Linked DNA regions of Struthio camelus. The protein of the gene in region 1 interacts with the protein of each later gene in a pairwise test. Links are inferred from orthologs where the notes say so. Each region holds a gene or a part of one and is shown in the gene's direction. Other genes may lie near its edges.

What was found. The genes of interacting proteins can lie anywhere in the genome.
Region 2: the proteins of NPAS2 (region 1) and BMAL2 interact in binary tests that used the Homo sapiens proteins (3 or more experiments, as listed by UniProt). The link is inferred for Struthio camelus from reciprocal best matches to the Homo sapiens genes NPAS2 and BMAL2.

Annotation. Positions count from the first base shown.
Region 1 is NC_090942.1:152,097,699-152,101,441, forward strand, and holds the start of NPAS2 (neuronal PAS domain-containing protein 2), read left to right. Parts: upstream 1-1,180; 5' UTR 1,181-2,316; coding exon 2,317-2,594; intron 2,595-3,743. UniProt on the Homo sapiens protein: Transcriptional activator which forms a core component of the circadian clock.
Region 2 is NC_090942.1:77,266,545-77,270,287, forward strand, and holds the start of BMAL2 (basic helix-loop-helix ARNT-like protein 2), read left to right. Parts: upstream 1-1,384; 5' UTR 1,385-1,584; coding exon 1,585-1,645; intron 1,646-3,743. UniProt on the Homo sapiens protein: Transcriptional activator which forms a core component of the circadian clock.

The DNA of each region.
Region 1 (3,743 bases):
CACCGCAGGATAACTGGGGTAGCTGCAAAGGCCATATAGCTGTGCAAAGCCGCGAGGCTCTTTTCTGGAGCCAGGTGGCTGGAGCAACCTTCAACCCACACACTGCGCCCACACAGGCAGACTTGGTGTGGGCAGAGAGGTCTCTGCTGGCTATTATTTTACATGGCTTAACGTGTCTCTGATAACGAGGCAGAACAGAGCAAAGGAGAAGGGAAACAGCTCCCACCACACCAACTCTGCTGCCACAGGTATAGCAGGACCTGCTGGTGGAGACACAGCTGGCACCAGCCTACGGGGCTTTTCCTCACTGCTCTCAACAACAGAAACGGCTACCCTAAAAAGCAAATACCTCGTGCTAGCAGGCCAACCCTTTGGCAGGTGCAAGAAGTACCTACTCCAGGCCTTTCTCCAGCAGAGCAATGGGTTTTTTTGGCCGTGCAGACACAGAGCAGAGCCGGGAGCCCCGGGTGTGGCGGGGGCTGCGGGGCAAGGGGTGAAGCCCGGGCTCCCTGCAGAGCCGGCCGTGGTGGCAGGGCTCCCGGCCCCGGCTCCTGCTGCTGTCGGCAGGTGCCGGAGCAGCGGGTCTCGGCACACACCAGGGAAATGAGGGGGGCAGTGCCGTGTCCCCACGCCGCTGCCACTGCTGCCCTCCTGTCCCGGGGGGCAGCCCCTCGGCCTTGCTCGCTGCCCCAGGCAGAAGACAGCAGGACTGACTGCCCAGCGGGGAGAAAGCGAGCCCCAAAATAAACGGCCCCTCCTAGGCTCCAGCATATTTCCTTATCTCACACTGGCTACGTTTCAGGAGGAGTATTAGGCAAAAATAATGCAAAGTGGGGAATAAAAAGAATGACCTACTTTGGGGGGAGAAAAAAAAAAAAAAAGCAGCTCTCTGTCAAGGTTTTGCTCTAATTGCCGGTACGGCGTTGCATAACCAAATCGGGAATTACTGCCCCGTGCCCGGCGAGGCGGAGAGCCTGCCCCGGGGCAGCGCCGTGCTGCGGGGCCCGGCCCGGCCCGGCTGGGCTCCCGCGGCCACCCACGGGCACGGAGCCGGGGCCGCCCCCCGGTCACCCCTCCGCCGGCCGGGGCTGCCTGCCCCTGCCCGGGGGCGAGCGGCTGGGGCGGGGGGAGTGGGTGTCCGCAGTCCGCCAGGCGAAGCCGTGCCAGCCGGGGCGGGCTGTGCCGAGCCGAGCCGAGCCGGGCCGGGCCGGGCCGGCAGCCCCGGGCAGCAGAGCACCTGGGCGCAGCCCTGCCCGGCGGGGACGGCGGCACCGTGGGCGGCTGGCGTGGAGGCGCCTCCTGGGGTCAGGCTATAGGGGCGGCCGCCGGTGACCGCCGGGTTATAGCTATAGACATACGTAAATGCAGGCACGCCGGGCTTTGCTCGAGGCGTTGCGAAACCATCCTTGATTTCGGGCTGGGTTTTTGGTTGATTTTTTTTTTTTTCCCCTGCTTCCCCTTTCGTTCTCTTTCCAGCTTCTCCTTTTCTTGGATCTTCGCCTGTCTCCTCCCACAGAACGAGAGAGAGAGAGAGAGAGAGAGAGAGAAAAAAAAAAGGTCACGTATGTTTGGAAAAATATGTAGGTCAGTGGAACATTCCCTGCACTTGTGCAAACGGAGACGGGGAGGGAGAGCTCCTCTGCAGCCCTTTCGCTACCCACCTCCCCAGCCCGTCCCTCCCCAAAGCCCGCCGCTCTCCAAAGAGGGGAGGGGGCACGCAATCCGCAGCTCCCCTTTTCCCCCCTCCCTGACCCATTTTGCACACAAGCGTCGGGTTTGGGCTCCCCCCCCCACCCCTTTCCTTCCCTGGTAGAGAGGAAGCCGGCGCGGGCGAGCACGGCCCTTGCGCGCCGCCGCCAGCCCCCGCGGCCGCGGCTCCCCATGGGCGCGGGGCGTGGGGCGCGCCCCCCCAGCGCCGCCGGCTGAGGGTGCGGGGCGGCAGCCCGCCGGCGACGACGACGACGACGACGAGGAGGAGGAGGAGGACGGCGATGAAGGACCCGCGGAGAGGATGCCCCCGCCTCGCCCGCGGGGCTCCAACTTTGCGGAGAACTATCGGCCCCGCAGTCCCCGCGCCCGCCCTGCCCCTCCCGGCCGCGCATTTAACTTAATGCACCAGCGGGAGCCCGAGCCAGCAGCCCCCCTGGTCCCCCCCGGCCTCCTCCCCCTCCTCCTCCTCCTCCTCCTCCCCCCCCCTCGGCAGCAGCCCGGGCTCCCGGCGGCCTCCCGCTGCCGGCGGAGCCCCTGGCCCCGGCGCGCGTGGGTCCCGCGGCGCCCGGGCAGGCGGCAGCGCGGCATGCGGCGGCCCCGCGCACCATGAGACACGGCACCGGCACCGGCGGCAGGCAGGCGGCGGCGGGCAGCGTCCCCGGCTCGTCGGCTGCGAGGAAGAGTTTGCCGGCTCCCGAGGCCGGCCTGCCGAGCGGCTGGAGCAGCAGCGGCGGCCGCTGCCGCAGCGGTACCGGCAGGCACCGGAAAAGCGGCGGCACCGGCGGCTCCCGCGCCCAGGTGGCCACCGCGGACAGCAGCAGCAGCGGCGGCGGCGGCGGCGGTTGGGGCTTCCCCGCCGCCCTCCCGCAGCCCCGGCACCCCAGGTAACGCGCGGCCCTGCCGCCGGCACCGACCCCCCCCCCCGCCGCGTCCACCCGCGGCGCCCACGCAGGACGCCCACGCGCCGCGCTCGCACCCCCCCCACCTCCCGCGCTCTTCCCGGGCTCCGTGAGTAAGGGCCGGCCCCGCGGCGCCCCTCTTCGCGGCAGGGTGGTTTGGGGTCGGCGCCGCTCCCCGCGCGGGGGGAGAGGGGGGAGCAGCGTGTCCGGCGGCGCGGGCGGCATCGCTTCCGCCGCGGGAAAGTTTCCGCGTGGCCCGCGCTGGGGGCAGCCGGTCCCTGCGGGGACGGGCCCATGCGGCCTGGCCCGGCCGCCAGCGAGACCTGGTGCAGAGCAGGCTTGGCCCATCAGTCTGAGCGAAATAAAATGCCCCCCGCCCCCATCTCGTTTTGGTGTAGTTTGCAATTTGCTGCCGCCATAGGCTCGTTCAGGCTAGACCGGCGCAGGGGCTGAGAAGGGACCTGGCACGGTTCAGGCGAGGAAAACTTCCAGTAAGAGCAATGGGATTTTTGCATGGGTGAAGGTTCGTGGTGGGGACCAGAGGTTGTGTCCTTTGCTGCAGGAGCCCTGCTGCTGAAACCGTGTGCCAGGCTCCTGCTTGCTTTCCTTTCGTGCGCAGAACTGGGGGGGGAGAAATGTTAAATACACGGCCGAGCGGCAACACGGCACGTCTTTCATGCGGAGTTGTGCGGTGAGGCTTTCCTGTATGGTCGCTAGTCTGATTTGGCAATTAGCAAGCACGCTCATCCGTAAACTTTACTGGGTACTCCTTAACTGTCTGCAGGATAGCAGTTTACTTTCACTCAAGTGACTCAGAAATAATTAGCGGTTATAAGCATTGCAGCCAGCAGAGGAACTTTAATCTTTTCATGGTGCTAAATCTCCAGAAGGGCTATGGGATTCCCCCGGAGGAGCATGGCTAACGTGAGCTTTCGGCGCACGCTCAACAAGTGGCTGGATCCTGAAGTGGAAAATTCTCTCGCTCTTACCCCTGCGTGAAATGTTAATTTGTACCCCACCGTGGTTGGAGTTTGTTTGGTGGTACTAAATAATCAGCGTTCACAGTTTCTGGACGGAGCCGGTTCATCCGCTGATCCGTATCTGGTTCTGAAAGCTGTCGGCTGGCTAAGGGCC
Region 2 (3,743 bases), about 75 Mb from region 1:
ATAATAGTCTTCCTTTGATTAAAAGTAATCCAACCTTTTTGGTGTACTTTGCACATTTTTCTTTTCACTTTCAGGAAAGGATGTTTTTCTTCTTATAGTAAGAGTAATTTTGTTGTTTCCAGACCCGAATAAACCAACCACTTGCTCTGTAGCTGAAAGATATAAACTTCAACAGTTTAGATATTAACCAATAGGACAGATGATGAAAGAATGCCATATTCTTTGCAACCCTTGAGATACTGAATTGTAAAAGAGAAGCATTCAATGGAACTAGCCTTCAGTGACTAAGTCCTAGGTTAACACATGCATCTGCAGGGTAATCTACGTGCACCCTTTATTTAGGCATGAAGTCAGTGAGCCTGCTGTTCCATCTTTATTAGCACATCTTGTTAAGTCGAAAAGAACCCCTACGACTAATAATAGGCGCGAGCTCTGCAAGTCCACTGTACAGTACACCTGGAGAAGCAGCTTCCTTCACATAGGTCCCCGATCATCTGGTTCCGGCCTTACTGCTGATGAGCAACACCAGCTGCACTGTACATGCAAATTCCCTCACATGGGAGTTCAACAGGTAGCAGCAGGCACGTGCTCAGCCCATTCAGATGGCTCAGGCGAGGAAGTCTGAGGCCTTGGCAACAGTCTGTTCTGCCGCACACAGACCTGGAACTGGGCGGGTAGAGGCTACATCAACATCAACACGTTGGGCTCCTCAGTAAGAGCGGTTCTGTCAAGTGAATCCCCGTGTTGCTGAGGTCCCAACGTCCGCGCTGCAGGTGTCCTAGAGGCTGTATTTCAGACTAGCTCCAGTGAGGTCCCAGGGAGCGAGAGCCCGTTAGCAGTTGGGCCACGTTAAGTGAGCTCTTAACAGCGCTTCTTTAGGTTTCACGCAAAAAGAATATGGTTCGCGTGCTCCCAGACCACTCCAGGATGTGAACCAAACCACGGCGAGGACGACGGGCAGATTCGCTTCAAAAGCGCGCTCCCGATAAGCTGAACACACAACTACACCCCGAGCATCTACTGGAACCCAGGTCCATTCACCCAGTTTCACCTGTTAGTCAAAGCTAACTCTATTTTTGTGTGTCAGCGCGTACTCGTGCGCCTGCCTGTTCTGTGCCCCGCTCTGAGGGGCAGCCGCACGCCCAGAAGGCCGCAGGCGGCCAACCGCCTTCACCCGTTGTTCCTTCCCGGCCCCTCCTGTGGCGGGGGGGAGGCCCCAGCGGCCGTTGGTCCCCTCCCCCCGCACCCTGCGCGCGCCGGGCGGCAGCACCTCCCCCTCCCGCCTCCGCCCGGCCGGAAGTCTCGCGAGAAGTGTCCTGCCGGGCAGGGCAGGGCTGGGGCGGGGCGGGGCGGGGCGGGGGGAGGGTATGGCGCCGGCGGGGGCGCTGCTGAGGCGGCGCCGGTGACGGGAGGAGGGGAGGGAGCCTGTGGAGGCGCTTGCGGACCTTCTCCTCCCCTCCCCCTTTCCCCCCCAACCCCAACCCCGCGCCGAGCAGGGGGGCAGGACGGGCGGTTTCTGCTCACCTTAGTTTACCTCCTGCATGGTGGCGGGGGCGCTGTGGAGCGGGGCACGGGCAGCCCGCCATGGCCGAGGCAGGAGCGGGAAACGCCGAGGGGGCCGAGGAGGAGCGGCGGGCGACGGAAGGTGGGGGGGGGGGGAGCGACGGGGGCGCGCGCGCCGCGGCGGGGGGAGCAGCCGTTGGAGGCGGGGGGCGGGGTGCCCCCGGCGGCGGGGTAACGGCTGTGGGGGGCGAAAGAAGGGGGGGGAGGTGTTGTAACGGGCGGGACTCGCGCGCGGGTGTCGGGGTGTCCGTGGGTGCGTGAGTGGTGCGGGGTGGGGGTGTGTGGGGTGTGGTAGGGGAGGAGGGGGCTTGTGTGCCCCTTGGTGCCGGGGGGGGGCGGGGAGGTAAGGGCGCGTGTCTGCAGTCCGTGCGTGGCCGTTGTTGGTGGTGGTGGGGGTGTAACCTTCCCGCGTGGGTAGGAGCCCCCTTAGGCCGCTGTTTTCCCTCAGCGCAGCGGTTATGCTTCCAGCATGGGGCTGTGTATTCTGAATTGGGGCTGTTCATACTCTGGCCCCCAGCGTGTTGACCTGGACTCGAGTAACGATTTCTCCCGTTTAGTTCAGTTAGGGTACAGTTAGTTTAAGTCTAGTTAAGGTACACAGTGGTGTTAGGTTGTGGGCTCCCAAAGAAACGTTTACACTCTGCTTAGGTTTGTTATTACTGTTACAGATGTGTCATCATACCTCAGTGATCTGCACTAAAAATATTTTTCTTTCTGTGTATTTAACTTAGTATGTAATACACACTTTCTGATATACAACTAATTGTTTTATGTGTCCCTAATGTGTTAGTATTTTTTTTTCCTGCAGGCGGATGTAATTCAGACTTTTGAGTGTAGTGAATTTGGCTTCTCTGTGTGAGTGTGTGTGTGTGCACTTGTATAGAGGCAGAGGTTTGACATTCCTCCTCCTTCATAAGTTTCTGGTGCTAAAACGGGGCTAGTGTTAAGCCAGCAGCAGCTGTTTGTGCTCCTCCTGCTGCAGGAATGAGTATGTTGCTTCCTCCTTTCAAAATGTTGATCTGAGGAGGAAAAAAAAAGATGTTTTGCACGGAGTTTTGAGCTACAGAAGTGAGCAAATCGTTCATAAGTCATCATTGCTGTTCTGTTTAGTTAGCACCAGTTCTTCTGGGTTTGTTGTTGTCTTTTTAATGTGTATTTGGGGGATTCGTATGTATGTGGTTTTTTTTTTTTTATATATATGTGGGGGTTCTGGTTGTCTCAGTAGTTGGTATTTTTTCCATCTCTGTGTTTCTGAATTATGAAGATTAGTTGTTGCTTGGTTGTTTAAATACTGGTATAATTTTGTAATAAGTAATCTAGTTTTTGAAAGTAAAGGTTTTTTTGTAGGGGTTTTTTCTTTTTGCTGTCTATGAAATTGTGTTAAGAATTTGTTTCTGTATCATACACATATTGTAAGAAAAGGAAATAATCTAAATGAAGAAAAATCAAAATATGTGGACTTTTCCATGTGAAAGTATCCATGGGAAAGCAATGAACAGTAGGTTTTTATGTTATATTGTGAAAGAATTCCGCCTGCTCTGATTTCTTTTGTTATTTATGCTTCTACTAATTCTTCTAACATATTTTGAAGAAACAGAGTCTCTTTCTGTTAATCAATTAACATTTTAAAAGGTGTAAATTTTTTAACTTGTATAAAGGACCTAAAGATTGGAATAGGTCAGCTTAGCAGTTTTTCATTTTAACAACATCTTTTTCTTACTATTGCATATTAGGAAAAGCAAACTCCGGACTGGGCAGTTCACATCAGCTAAAGAGTCTAATTCACTGTAAGAAGAAAATCACTTTGTGGGTGATTGTGGGAAGTGAATCAATATCAATACTCTGAAAATTCCCTTCTTTGACAACTGGGCCCGTTAAACCACGGAAGTTCTACTGCAAACTTGACAAAGTTATCATTTTACTCAAAAAAAAAAAAAAATTTGGTTCTAAAACTTACAAGAGAGCTGCTAGCCTCAATTTCTTTAGCAATATATGATCGGAGAGATTTTTTTTTTTTTTAGTAATGAACTAAGATACATGAGACTCTAGATTTCTATCAGTGACCTGATTTGACCCTGGAAGTGTCTGGGGAAGCAGGGTGACCTTTCAAGGGCTTGTGTGGTATCTCTTCACTAGCTGGTTACAGTCAAGGTTTTTAATACACTAATAGGTTTGGCCAA